Arabidopsis thaliana: one gene and its partner. The protein of the gene in region 2 interacts with the protein of the main gene of each other region in a pairwise test. Each region holds a gene or a part of one and is shown on either strand. Other genes may lie near its edges.

Evidence for each region. Proteins that work in one complex are often made in the same cells at the same time.
Region 1: the proteins of AT1G64620 (region 2) and UNE12 interact in a two-hybrid assay, tested with the Arabidopsis thaliana proteins (one study listed by BioGRID).

Annotation. Positions count from the first base shown.
Region 1 is NC_003075.7:1,135,115-1,142,269, forward strand, and holds UNE12 (basic helix-loop-helix (bHLH) DNA-binding superfamily protein), read right to left. Parts: upstream 5,427-7,155; 5' UTR 5,193-5,426; coding exon 4,830-5,192; intron 4,426-4,829; coding exon 4,303-4,425; intron 4,139-4,302; coding exon 4,073-4,138; intron 3,987-4,072; coding exon 3,921-3,986; intron 3,247-3,920; coding exon 3,166-3,246; intron 3,088-3,165; coding exon 2,854-3,087; 3' UTR 2,373-2,853; downstream 1-2,372. Other genes in the region: AT4G02580 (NADH-ubiquinone oxidoreductase 24 kDa subunit), read left to right, coding at 462-578, 713-790, 880-985, 1,077-1,123, 1,236-1,313, 1,430-1,495, 1,685-1,792. UniProt on the Arabidopsis thaliana protein: Required for ovule fertilization.
Region 2 is NC_003070.9:24,003,697-24,012,130, reverse strand, and holds AT1G64620 (Dof-type zinc finger DNA-binding family protein), read right to left. Parts: upstream 5,219-8,434; 5' UTR 4,844-5,218; coding exon 4,820-4,843; intron 4,706-4,819; coding exon 3,671-4,705; 3' UTR 2,716-3,670; downstream 1-2,715. UniProt on the Arabidopsis thaliana protein: Transcription factor that binds specifically to a 5'-AA[AG]G-3' consensus core sequence.

The DNA.
Region 1 (7,155 bases), on a different chromosome or scaffold from region 2:
TTCGTGAAAATGTTGGAATCTTTAGCCCTCGTTCCCTAATCTTTAGCCCTTTGTTTGACCCTAGTTATAACTAGTCCCTGTCTCCTGATTATGAATTATGGTTCTCTTAGTTAGCATTCTACCAAAGGATATTAAAAGACAAAGACTGGGATTTTCTGATATTTTTGATTGCTTATTTGTTGTTACATATTTAGAATCGGCTATTCTGGAACTGATTTAAGGGAGAGACTTAGAGTGAACGACCCAAATGGCCAACAGATTTGAATCTGCTAGTGTGGCAGAAAGACTGTCCAGAAATTAGTAAACCGGTTTCATTGTAGTTTAAATCCTAATACTTTCTTGTGCATTTAGTTCCAGTTTACTGTATCTTTCATTTCTGGCTACAGTAATCTTGCATTAACGGTGAAATCGATTTCCGCATGCATCCAGACTTACTGAATTGTTATGTCCAAAATGTGTAGGTTAAGGAGATTCTCTCTTACTATCCATCCAATTACAAGCAGTCCGCAGTTATTCCTCTCCTAGATCTTGCACAACAGCAGAATGGAGGCTGGCTCCCTGTTTCAGCAATGAATGCGGTATGTCTTCTAAGATTTTTTTGTTCGATTTTCTCTGTTAAGACTTAATTTTATGTACTTCTTAAGTTCTTTTTTGGAATACAACATTCATTGATATGATTTTACCGTCATAACAATGCAACAAACTTTTGCAGGTTGCTAAAGTTATAGAAGTTGCCCCTATCCGTGTTTATGAGGTTGCAACATTTTACTCAATGTTCAACAGAGCAAAGGTAAGAAGTACTTTCTACCCCTAAACTCAAGTCTCTACTGTACTCAATGAAAGACGCATTGCAGGCTCATTTTTCTTTTGCTCTTACAGGTTGGAAAGTATCACCTTCTAGTTTGTGGCACAACACCTTGCATGATCCGTGGTTCACGAGACATCGAATCAGCTTTGCTAGACCATTTGGGAGTGAAACGCGGTGGTAAAGCTCTATGTGCTTCCTTTCATAACCAAAATCATATGGAGGTGATGATCAGTCATAACGATCTTTGGTCTTAATGTTTTTTGTGCAGAGGTCACAAAGGATGGTTTGTTCTCTGTTGGAGAGATGGAGTGCATGGTATGGATTTTGCGTCACCTCAATTCATTAATCCATGCAGAACAATAACCAAGATTAGTACTTTCACATGAAAAGATTCAATGCAGATCTAATGTGTTTGGTTTTGTTACAGGGATGTTGTGTTAATGCACCCATGATCACTGTGGCTGACTATTCCAATGGATCAGAAGGATATACATATAACTATTTCGTATGTCAAATCTCGTTGAACAATTTTTCTTTTTCTCCTGCATTATCCTATTGTTTATGTGGGTTACGTCGGAAGAGTGAAATCATACTTACACTGTCTTATGCTACAATACACAGGAAGATGTTACACCTGAGAAAGTCGTAGAAATTGTTGAAAAGCTGAGAAAAGGAGAAAAGCCACCGGTAAGACATTAACAACCCATTGCATTTGGATACTTTCCTGATGTTCTTCTCTTACTATTGCATTACATCGGTGGGGGAAAACAATCTGGTTTCGGTTAACTTTCCAAATTGGAGAACGTAGCCTCTAAGCCAAAATCCAAATCCAAAATCCAAATCCAACTTCTTATAATGTTAATCTTTGTTTTTCAGCATGGAACTCAGAACCCGAAGAGGATCAAGTGTGGACCAGAAGGAGGGAATAAGACACTGCTTGGTGAGCCTAAGCCACCACAATTCCGTGATCTTGATGCATGCTAAAGCTAAGTTCTGTTTGCCGCAGTTTTATGTGGTTCAATAACGCAAAGGCTATAGCGATGTATGTTTGACGCCTGTACCGCATCAAATTGAGTTTGCATACTCTTTGTAGTCTTCTTGGTTTTGGAATTTAGACCCATTTTAAACAAATTGCCAAATCATCTTCGTTTATTATTATCTCACTCTAAGATTCATGTGAAATTGTAATAAAAACAAAACTTTTATCTGTTACTTCAAAAGACACAAGATTTTCCAAACTTTACTCAAAAAATAAATTTGGCAGAATGATTTAATGAATCACATGAAATAATCATATCAATAACTTTAATTCTTCGATGAGTTTTTTTTTTGGCTATATTTTTCCAAAACTAACAATATTAATAAAAGTTGTATTTTGTCTTCACTAATCAATGCAAAATGTAAACATGCAAGTTTAAATTGATACATGTTCTGTCCAAAGTGTATATATCTTAGCATTTGAGATTTGGAAGTTAAAATTGTACACGTACCACTAAAAAAAAGAAGCACAATTCATGGTACTTTCTCCTAAAATATTTGCTTTATGTTTCTAGTGTTATCAAACAAAGGATGGTTACTAGATCAAACTAATAATATTATTTGATAATTAATTATACTACTCCAAAGTCATACAAAATAAATAATAATACAAGGGGTGACAAATTACAAATACTTGTTTTTTCTTCAATTTGAACACAACTCAACAAGGTCCCACAACTTCCCACTACTACTACTACTAATAAATAACACCCTTCAAGCTCCTTCCTCAACCTCCCACTAAAGTCTTGAAAACAAAAAGTTGCTTTCATCAAAGTCCACCTAAAATAAAGGTACAATGATTACAATAATACTTGATCAATTGAGCTTTTTGACATTTTTTTTCCCTCTACTGCAAATCCTACATTGATTCCATCTACAAAGCCTTTTTCACTTTTTTACCTTTCAAGTGGGTGAGAGAGGAGAGAAGAAACCAGAGTCATTAGAGCAGAAGAAAAACCCATGTTGGACAGTTGGATTAGCTGTACAAACTCTTTATTGCAGAAATCCTACTGTGGAGGATTGTTCTCAGGCTTGACCACTGAAGATGTATCCGGAGGTTGAGAATGGTAAATTGCCATTGCCAATGAGATTGGCATCATACAAAGAGCCTTTGATTGAAGAAGCTGCATCGCGGCTCCAACGTTCTCTTCCATCAGTTTAGCCACTTGACGTTCAGTCCCATCGTTAGACCATTTCTCCCACGCTGGTTGCGGAGTCCTTCCACCCTCACCCGTTTCATCCTATTGACATTTTAAGCAAAATCTGAATCAAAACCCCATTACTAAAGTTTTTACTTTTTGTTCTTAAAAAGTTTTTACCTCAACTGATGATGAAAGAGGCATATCAGTAACAAGTGGAGCAACCGCACCGGCTCCACCAAGTCGGCTCATGCTCAAAACCTACCAAAGTTGACAAAGAGAAACAGATATCATTGAAAGTGATAAGCTTCACCCCATGAAAATTATATATATAAAAAAAGCTTTTACTTTTAGATGAGCATGGAAGATTTCACAAGAAACACATTTTCTATTTTTAAAACAAAAGATGTATTATCTTATCAGAAATCCATCATTGCATTCTGTTTCTTTAGTGTCTCCATTATCTTATAAAGTAAAGAGACTTCCTTTTTTCGCTTGCGAGAGCTTTAAGTAACCGACTGCATTTTGATATAAGAAGCATTTGATGATCTACCAGATTACTATATTATAATGTGAACATGATGATTGTAATTATTGTTGAATATGGTATTATAATCATAAACTGTGATTAGGCTCCCTATGACAAAACAAAAAGTGAAAAGAGACTAAATGCCAAAGAAAACAAAAGCATTTTGGACTTGTTTATTCTTTCCCACATTAAATAACTGATCTAATCAGATTGAAATTTGGTTGAAGGGTAGGTAATGGTGGGACCAGAATTAACACCAAAAATCCATCCAGAGAATTTGAAAGACATGATCTTTAGATCTCTAATCTTATGAACAAACAGATTAAACATATTGCATAGGGAGTAATAAGATAATTCACAAGAAAGAGAGTTCGAGTTTAAAACTGCAGAAGAGAGAAGAATATACCTTGACTTGGAGCCTGAGAAACTTTACATAATCGACAATCTCATCGATCATAGCAGCTCTATCGGTCTGCACACGAAGACGGGAGAAACAGAAAGTGTCAAACTTTCTAGAGAAATTATATACAGGTGAGGGTTAGGGTGAAAGGTACAGACCTTGTTCACAGTAGGTACAAGTTCCTGCAGCGCCCTGATCCGTTCTGCTATTCTTTCTCTACGTAGCTGTGGTAAAGTAAAACAAACTTTTAGGTAATCCCTCCATAAAATCAAGAGATCATTACACAATGTTAACATTTTTTTATATCCGAAACATATTTTCAACTACAACCAACTCGCCACCAACATAGTATATCACAGGGAAATACAAAAGAGAATCTGAAATATACCCGCTCAGCGATGCTATGTGGATCAGTAGCCTGACCACGCCTAGCTCGAACCCTGGGACGGATTGAAGTAGGCTGATGTGGGGCCGATGGAGGTGGCTGTTGCATAGGCTGCCCGTGGAAAACCTTCCAGACAACACACAGAAGAAATAAGACCAAACGAAAATAAACCATTTGCACAAGGATTTGACTCCATTAGTTGTAAGAGAATAATTTAAGTTAGACCCTTAAGATTACTCATTTGACCAACTTAGAAGGCAAGATAAGCCACGCAGCTACATGAACTAGTGAGAAGTTGCTCATAGAGTAACAAGAGCTAACCTTAGTTTACTAAACAAACCAAAATCGATTAGATTCAACAAGTCTGAGCCAAAATAAAGCACATAACGCAAATCATCAACTTTGTTAAAGTTACTTACCACAAATCAAAAACTAAAACAAAAGTTACCAAAAATGTTCTCTTCAAAACCCTCAAATTCGATTTCTTCCCATTTCTAATAATCAAACACCAAAGCAAGAACAGAACTTACAGGTTTCATAGAAGAACATCGATTATCAACAACATCATCTGAGAATCTTTTCCCACTTCCATGTCCTCCTTCAGGTCTAAGAAACCCAGGTCCTTTCCCTTGATCAAGACTTAACCCCAAAGGAAACATCTGATTGTGAAACCCAGTTGGTCCACTTCCTCCTAAGCCACCCATGTGACTTCCTTCTTCTCCGGAACCCAACTGCAGCATCATAGGCGGTGCTCCACCACCTAATCCTCCGTCAACTCCAGATAAACCGGCGGCAGAAGAGGCTGAGAAGTTAGGAAGGCCGAGGATTTGCTCGAAGAAATCATCAGAAGGAGTTTGGTCAGAAAGGTTGTCGTGAGGGTTGTTACTAGCCATGGTTTGAGCTAAAGACAGAGACTTTGACTCGAACGAGTCACTGTGAGTTACGATTAACGAGTTAGGAACCTTCAAAGAGAGATTTACATGCGAAAGCTACAGATTTTTTTAATCTATTTTGGGTTGATGAAATTTTGATGCTTTAAAACGAATGAGGACGAAGAAGACAGAGACGAGAAAGGAGCAGAAGAAAAGTGAAAACTTTATGCTCTGTTTATAAAAAAAATATCCTTTTTGGTAAAAGACCTTACTTTTTCAGATTATTTCGTTTTTGCCATTTTCTTATTTTCCTTCCAGAAACAAAATAAAAATATATAAATGGGCTGGATTTTATATCATATTTGGGTCTTCTTTCTCTTCTTCTAAATATGGGCCTTCAATTCAGTCTTTGTTTTTTTCTTTATGGGTTAAAGTCTTCTTTAGTTTTCCTTATAAATTACGTTAAACCTCTAACAATTAATTTATAGAGGTATTAATTATTAGTAAATTAATAATTAATAATTTCTTTAACATTATTTTTTGCTTATGTTTTAATGTTTACTTGATTTTTTTATTAAAATAGTTTCTTTGTTTTTGTTTATGTTTTTAACTATTATAATAGTTGTAGTCAAACATAATTTAGTAATCTTTTTAATTAATTTTGAAAATATATGATATACTTATAATTGCCACTAGATATTATATAATTTGAATTGATGTATTTGGAAATTGGAAAAATACACTGAGACCAAACATTTGCGATTTTATACGGCCGAAGCGGTCGTTTAGGTGTTACGAAAGTGGAAATGGTGCGTCGTGGAATTGCACTGAAATCATCCCCACATATCTCCTCCCGCCTCTAATAGCTTCTGGTTCTTTCCGTTCTCATATATCTAGCAGATCCACTACCTATCTACCATGACGCCAAGTAGTGACGGTACTGTCCGTCGTACTTATTGCTCTCTATTTTTAGAACATGACGAATGAATTGTAGTTATCTATTATTGTATCCCTCCTAATTCTAATTAATGTATTCAACTATTAGAATGTATTGAAAAAATCGCTTATTTTTCTGTTTGTAAGTTAAATTTTCCTATATCACTTATTGAGATGTTTACATAATTCAAAAACGTCACATAATTATCTTGCGAGATATAATCAAATTCGAGATATGCGCTAAGCAAACAAGCTCCAAATAAAGTATTTCAAATTCAAAAGAGACAATTTAGTTTCCTAGAAAATGTTTTCTCTCTTCTATCACAATTCAGGTTGATTCCCAAGCTTGTCGATATGGAAGATTCTGTTTGCTAGCTTATCAATCTCAGCGACTCCTCTCTCTAATTTGAGTCTACACCAACAAAAACTAAAGGGTTCACATCATTATGCCTAAATGGAGCTCATTTATAAAGGAACAACTTGTGCTTAAGGAGGTAATTCTCAGACCAAACACGAACATCCAACATAAGAAGTAATAAAAGCTAAGAAAAACAGTTATTTACAAAAATCAATAAATAAAACAAGTTTTGTTTTGGATGAAAAAAAAAAAAAAAAAAAAACAAGTTTTGTTTTGATAATATATTAACACAAAAAAAATCAGTTAATCAACTTAATAGTTTAATATATTAATTATTATCCCTTTAAGAATTTTTTTTTCTAATGCCCTTTTCATGATGCCCTTTTTCAACTTTACCCTTTTGTTTTATCCAATTTTATTTCTACCCTCTTTAAATTTTTAATGACCATTTTACCCTTATTTGGAAATTGTTTTAGGTTAACAAAATGAAAAATTAATATTTTTTCGCCAAAAATATTCCAAAATAAATTTCCCGCCAAAATTTGTTTTCAAACATATTTTTCCCGCCAATTTTTTTTTTTTGGCGGGAAATAGATTTACAAGGGATTTTAAAAGAGTTTTAAAAGATTTACAAGGGATTTTATAGGGGTTTTATAAGATTTACAAGGGATTTTAAAAGGGTAATTTACA
Region 2 (8,434 bases):
TTGTACAATTTTTTTTTTGTTTGATAAAAATATATTAATGGATAATATATCAGAAAAGCTAAGGAGATTATATATAGATACTAGAGGGATGGTAGTATATGTATATCTCGAATGCTATATTTAATTTAAGAGATATAAACTCAAATTTAATTGAAAGAATTAATACTGATACTGCAAAAAAAAAAAAAAAAAAAAAAAATCAATAAGTGATAAGAGATAAGACCTTTTTAGCTGTAGTAAGTATTCTTGTGTGGACAGCATGCAGGATTAGCAAACTAATCATATCGTAGTAATATTTGTATTATGAATTGAAAATGTAAAAAAAGAGAATAAAACCAATCATCCAAATTCGCAAACTCCAAGGTGGAGCCAGAACTAGTGTTACGGTCCACTGCCACACATACAATTATTTCCTCGTTTTGGGCATAACACCGTTTTGTCAGGGAATGTCTCTCTTCGTAGTACTCTTCAGCGTAACCCCATTTGTTTTTTTATTTATTAATTTGTCTTTTATAGCCCCACAAAACTTAAGTAATCGAATTCCATACATCATCTTTTGTTACTGACGCTTAATTTGTTGTTCCAAAATTCAAAATCCTCACTCTCTGTGACTCTGTCTTGGTAATATTTTTCAACAAAAATTGTTACAATTGAGTGTATAATCTTTTTGGATTAGTTATCCTGCTCTAAACATGTGGAGGTATGGTCATTTTGAAATTCTTTAATCAAGAAGAAGAAGAAATATAGGGTTTGTGTGCCCAGAAAAAGCGCGGGACCTGCCTGTTTTCACGAGGGACGAGGACTCGAGGAGGAAAGATTCTTGATGCGTCAGCAAGACAAGACACGTGGAGGAAGATGAATGGATAGGCAGCTGGTGATGATGACACATGTTGATTATGAGGGCTTTGGGTGGTCGGGTAAGAAGGAAGCAAAACACACCCATCACCTGTCAGATTCTCACTTGTCCTTTTTTTTTGTGCCTTTTAAATTAGTACTACTTAAACAGTGTCACTCACTCACTCACTATGCTACCTTTTTAAATCTCAAACGGCGGGGCGAGAGCTCACAGTTTGTTTCTTCTGGGCTTGGTAAGATAGAATGATGATGGGCTTTTATGAGCCCAATCGGGCTCTAGCCCAGATAGAAGAAGATTCGATATACGTCTATAATTATAATCCTTCTTTGAATAGAGAGAGACAGAAACGAAGGAGAATTGATTATTATGAGTATCATGATGAGAGAAGGAAACAGAGGGAGGAGAATTGATTATTGCCATTTTGCTTATTTATACTGTTTGTGTATTATGTGTCCCTCTTCAATTTGCTGATCTGAAACATTATGTGACTACCATTTGCATAAGCCTTATGTATTTCTAATGTTCAAAGAAGCAATGTCCTTCTCTTATTCCCATTTTGTCTCTTTTTTGAGATTGAAATTTGCATGTTCCTTGGTTCTTGGTAGAGAGAGTTTAGAGTCAGTTGTGTTTCTCATTCCTTTTTGAAGAAATTCATATAACCCCTATACATTCTATACAGTAGTTGTGTATCATTGAAAAACTTTATGCATGTTATATCTGTTTGGCAGTTCTCTGCTTGGGTTTAGCTCTTAGTTGTTGTAATGAATATGAAATCTTAGAAAGACTAGTATATTCCGTATATGAATTCTTCAGACAAGTATAGAAAGACTACTAGAAAGCTCTTAGTTGTTGTAATGAATATGAAATCTTAGTCGTTTTCTGTTGTGTAGTGGGACAATATATATATATATATATATATATATATATATATATATATATATATATATATAAGTAAGTTTGGATATATTCTTGGTGAGAAGTGAGAATCTTATGAATGAAATGTTCTGACTTTGCATGTACTAGGTACTTGATAGCATCTCATACGATGTACTATCAACATCCGATGATGTTTCTCAACACGCTCGCTGTATTTATATGGTGGTTGCAATTTGCAAAGTTCCCGCACATGCACAAGGTTCGTATCTTTGGAATCAATGCAGAACAATGAAATTACGCTAATGAGATTTGGTATATGTCTAAACTGCTCTTCTTGAAATGGTCAATATCACAAGTTGGCTAAAAGAACACAAGCCAGTTTTGTTATCTTCTTTTGCCCAAAAAACAGATCATCTTCTTAAGTTTAAACCCGAGGTTAAGGTTTTTTTCTTTCTAAATCCTATAATATAATATATATACAGTCGACATTGTCAGTTTTGGATTGTTACTTACTGTTGTTATGTGAAAAGACAGAAAACGAAAAAGAAGGATGATTTGTTGTGTGTGGTGTCATTGCTGACCAAGTGTGCCATGTTTGATGTGACTCTTTTTCCTTGACTAAACAAAACAGCACTCCAATCGGTCTTTTCTTTTATGTCAGCAGAATTTTTGTACTTGTAAATATCCAATTGAAAATGAATCTATATTGTTGTTAATAATCGAGCAAACAAAGTGAATTCCAAACTGACTAGTATTGTTGATTACATTTGACACTGTTCTGGTTCGGAATTAATAAATTTGTCCTAGTTGGTTAGTTGTGAATTATATAAATGTGAAAACAAAAGGTATGAATCAAATGAGAAGTGTTGTTGGAGAGTCAATTGCAACAGCAACTAAATCTACGAGCTAGATTGCCATTTGCCCACAGAGACTCAAAAGGTAACGATGACTTTTGGAATGCGACTACAAACAAAACGGGCTTTAAATTGTCCACTATTAGTTCACATGTTCATATCTCTCTCTTTTTATAACACCTAAGATAAAATGGTTATAAGCTGAATTCTTTAACTAAACCAAACTCATCATCTGCCACTTTACCATCATAACCCTCTCTCTCTCTCTTCATATGCTTAACACCCAACAAACATGTGTTGTAGTATTGATCTTCTGTGCGAGAGAGTTGTTGGAGCAATGATGATGGTACGAAGTCCAAGAGGAATGTTGGGGGTAGGTCCATTTTTCTATGAGTAAAATTTTATTTTATACTTTTGCATTTGAATGAAAAAGTGCCTTAAGAAACTGACTGTGTTTTGTGGTCTCTCTTTCTCTTCAAACCCGCTTCGACTCAATCATCCTTTCCCCTTTCAAGTGTTCCTAAACAAACAAAGAACCAAAACGATTTCATAACGAGAGTCTTTTCTCTTGATATTCTTCACTACAAGGGTTTTAGTAGAATTTTTGTAAGTATAAATAAAGTGTACACATGTGATTAATATCGGAATTAAATGGGTTTCGGGTTTAGCGAAAGTATACACTAGCATATTGAGATGACAGGCTTTATGTCTCAAAGAGGACAATGACCATTTCTCTCTACACCTCTGAATTTGGTACACCGGCCTTTACACTAACTAAAATTGTTTCGTTTGTGACACTAATATATACACCATAAATATATCAAGATTAATGGAAAGATGTCATAAAGTTAGGTAACTAACAACTGAGATTGATTTAAAAGAGAGTCTAAATACATACAGTATCCATCCCCAACCCAACAAAGTTAATAATAATTTTTAGAAAAGGAGAAGGAAACCAAAGGAAAAGGACTAAAATAGTAAGCACCCAGATTATATAGTTAACCCTCTCATCTTTTTAAAACATGGGTGAAAAATGTAATCATTTCTTCTAAAAACTCTCATGGGATGGGGTCCATGACTAAAATTATTGCCATGAACCACCAGATGCAGCAGCAGAAGCACCAGCACTTAACATGCCACTCCAAAACCCAACAGATTGGTCAGCTTCTCCTTCTTCTTTCTCATGTTCATGATCACTATGCTCATCATTATTCTCTTTCAGATTGCCATTCCCACCACTATTGGTGCTTGATGATGAAACTGGAAGTTTGAGGAGGCTCTCAAATGGCAGCAACGGCCTTCCATTATTAGTGCCACTGGACCCCTCTTCTTGACGTAGAGGATCCCCACCATCAAGAGAGAATCCCAAAGCTGGTCTCATGAACTCTTGAAACTGTGGGTAACTCAGACCAAACCCGGATGCTGTGTAGACCGATGAATCATGAACATTTGGATAAGACATGAAAGCAGGGCGTGAGTTAGAGGAAGCAGAGGAACTAGAGATCCCTAAAAGCTCCAAAGACGAGGAAGTTGAGACCAGTGGGTTGTTCTTCATACTGCTGCTGGGTACTACTTGCAGAAACTCTGGGATACTACTGTGATGATTGTGACCGATCCCAAACCCTTGAGAAAACGCCAAGTTGAGATCTTTAACCTCGTGGGCGTTCCCAAACCCTTGAGAAAACGTCAAGTCTTGAACTTTAGTAGCGGCTGCTTCACCAATCTTAGGGTTAAGATGAGGAAGAGGAGGCGTAGGCGTGTTGTTGTTGGCAAAAAGAGGTTTCTTTGAAGAAGAAGACGAAGAGGGTGAAGAGGAAGAGGAATTGGAAGAAGATCTCTTGTTCTTGCGGACGCCGCCACCGACGGGGATGTTCCTGAGGGAACCACCTGCGGTCCAATACCTCCTGCAGTCTTTACAAAAGTACCTGGGCTGCGTCAGGCTGTAGTTGTTGTAGTAACAGAACTTGGTGTTTAAGGAGTTGCATCTTGGACAGTTCAAAGCCTGGTCTTTCTCCGGTCTTGCCTTCCTTTCCACAGGAGTAGCAGGAGAAGGAGGATTCGACTGTTGTTTTAGGCATGTGTTTGTCACGATCTCGTTCATTGGCTTCACAACAAACTCCTTTTTTATTTTTTATTTTGGCAAGAACAAACACAAAGCATACAATGGAAACTTTTTAATACAAAACCAGAATCTTTTTTTGATGAAGGAGGAAAGTAGTGAAGATAAGTATACCTGAGGCCATTTAGCAGTGTCCATGGCTATGGAAATTTGCAGCTGATCAAAAAAAACTTGAAGAGGAAGCTAAGGAGAAAGAGAGAGAGAGAAACGAAGAAGTGTGTGTGGAAAGGTAAAGCTGGTTTTTGAAAAAGCAAGAAGAAGACGAAAAAAGAGAATTTAAACAATTTAATTATATTTCTTAAAAAACTGTCACTTTTATTTGAAGGAATATATAGATACACGTATATTGTGTGTATGTGGGATTTTTGATGGATTCTTCGTAAGAGAGAGAGATAAGAGAAAGGGTTTGGTCTGACTCTGACACACTCTGAACTATGCGCCCGCCGTCCCACGAATCTTTTTCATTTATCTCTTAATTCTAATAATAAAATTGTCCCATTATTCATGTGTTTCTTCTTACATATCTCTCTCTTCTCTAGTTTTTGTTTGTTCTTAATTCTTACCAAATCTTTAGGTTACTAGTACTAATACTATTCCCATTTGATGAACGTGTACAATGTGTCATTTTTCATTTGAGGTATTATATATTATAGAATTTTTTTTCTTTTCTAAGAAATGGAGATTTTAGCTAGGGTAGCATTTTTTGTTTAACTATGGACGCTAATTTATCCATATTTGATAGTTGTTTTTGATTAAAAATTAAAACTGTTTTTACGGGAATATTTGTACAATACTGTATTTAGTACTAATGTATAGTACATTTTATAAAAAGAAGTGTATTAGTCACGTCATGACTCCCCTATCCATTGAAACATCTTTTGCTGCTTCCACTTCCTTTCAACTTTTGTCCCTTTTATCTACAATCTATAGTTGCACTCGGATTTTTCATAGTTATTTTCTATTAAAAAATATATTTACAAACGTAACAATTAGCAGAGAAAATTAGAGTTTTTTTTTTTTTTAAATGATATTGAAGTGAAAGCACATTTATATATCCGCAAATATAAGACATATTTCTCTTTCAATCATTTCCAGTACAAGTGTTTGTGACTTTGTGTGCTACATGTGATGAGATGTAGAAATTAGAAGAAAATAGAAGAAATGTGAAGAGTGGGGGAGTGTTGTGTTAAACAAGCAAGAGAAACGCCTCTACTGACATGAAGACCCAAATACCTTTTTTTAGTATATATAAATCTAAGGGTCCAGATTCAACCTCTACTTCCTCTTCCAGCCGTTGATCTTTTTTTATTTATTTTGATCAAACCAAAGTCTGAGCAGTAACCGGCGTTTGACGGATGAGTAGACCGGCGGCGAACTGCAGCCGTCAGATGTGGGGGGGAATCACGCAGAGAGTGGGACAGTGAATCTCTTGAGAAAACGACACGTGTCAAAGGATTTGGACTCCACAGGGGGAAGAGCACCAAAAAGTCTGTAGTAGTAGAGTAGTGGATGTGGTGTATGACAGTATTGAGTCGGACCTGAAGAGAGAAACCGAATAATATTTGGTGTGATGTGTTGTTGTTGATGTTGTTTTTGAGTTGGACGGTGGAGATTAGTCATCTTGTGGGCTCTACCTGTTTGGCCTTATTTCTCTCTCCCCGTAAGAAACGCATCCTCTCCTTCTCTTCTCTTCTCTTCTCTTCTCAGCCGTCCGATCTCGAGAGTGAGAGCCGACCATCTTCTTCTATTGCGATCCACCTCAGCTTCTACCCCCTAGGTTTTGTATTAGGATATAGAGCACCTTTATTTTTTGTATTTATGTAAACGAACACACACATTTTTCATTTTCCTTTAACGTCAAGAATTTTCACAAATGCTGTTCAAGTGTGCCCAATATAAATTCCCCCACGCAAATTATATACTTCAGTTTTCTGTATCCACAATTCTTCCTTGAATACATGTTAGATATCATTAGTATAACACATAATTAATCTTGATACCAAAAAAAAAAAACACATAATTAATCAATGACTTTATATCCTCCATATGCATCAATAGTGTTTTAATTTGCTTAAAATGCGACAGTTACCATGCAAACGCTTTACATAAGTGACTTTTTGATTAAACGTGACAAATATTCCACGAATTCGATTGATAATAAAATTCCAATTTAATACCCTTGATAATTGTTTAAGAGTAGTAATATCATATTCTTTACAGATCCGGAAAATGATTGAAATTCAAGTTTAACCTAAGCATGTCCAATGGTGGTTTCTAACCATAGTTTCTAATCTACTAAAGTAATAATAAAATAAGAAATAATATTATTTAATTTGAAAAGTTTCTTAAAATAGGTAGAAGAGTATTCAAAATCTCTTGAATTAGAAACTCTCTCACATTTCCTTAAAAACTATCTTAATTAAATAATATTATTTATTATTTTATTATTATTATTATAGGTTAGAAATTTTGCTTAGAAACCACTACTGGATTTGCTCTAAATACCTAATATGCATGACACATCTCACATGCATGGTAAGTGTGTTAAGCATCTCAAGTAAAAAAAACATAAAAATCTTTTAAGAACGATCCATATGATCGATTGTTTACATGTCAAAAAAAACTATTAACCATCTTAAACGCATGTTAACAAGAAAAGCTTCACTTATACCTACAAAATATCAATTATTAATTTAACCTTTGTACAAAAAAAATATCAATTATTAGAATTTTAATAGAGTACAATATGAAAATTGTAACCGAAATTAATCAAATATGAACTAAATATACTAAATTACATTTATTTTATGTGTCAGATAGCATATGCGAATGATGTGGACATATATAGCAACTAAATTAAGCGAAGCTACAAGCTAGTGTAAATGGACACTTGCTTTGGTATCTATAGAATCCATTATTATTTAGAAATCTAGGTTTTTGGGACCAAGACAACCAATATGGCTCTTAGATAAATGGGCATTTGATGTCTAATATGGTGGCCGTCCATTTAAAAATGGTGATCCAGGTAAAACAAAATTTTGTATCATTTTCTATATCTATGATTCAAAATCTAAAATACTATTACCTTTTTAAAATGTGTAAACAAATTTCGTACTCCTAAAGATATAACTTAAAATAAATAAATGACTAGAATAATTTGTTAAATATGGATCGCAGAAACATGAGCAATTTACTTACTATTCTTATTCTACAATATAAAGCATGACTTATTGACCCAAATGTCCAACCAAAACCTTCTGTCTTTGTTGTTGTTCTTAAATAAAATGATTTACGTATTGGTGATTTTCAAATGGTAAGATTGTGTAATATGGAACTGATTTACGTCAACCCCCGAGAATATAGGGCGACCCATCGTTGAGAATTGGACCACACATCAGTTGGACAATTGGTTAGTTATCATCCAGTTCATCGTCCTATAAAATGAAATTGGTACTGTTGTAGGGTCAGTGCAAATAGGGTAGAAATAAAGACCTAGTGGTAGGGTTTTGACCGCATAGTCTTCCAACCTTAGCATATGAAATCAATAATAAAATTCTCTAATGCATAATTTGTTGGGTTTCAAACTTATTTTTTTGTTAAATTTTGGTTTTCAAACTTAATTTCAGAGTTAGTTTGAATGCAATAATTTGTTTTCTTTTGAAAAAGTAGTTTGAATTTAATAAACTTACTTAATTCATAAACAACTTGTCAAACAAAAAGTCTAACCTT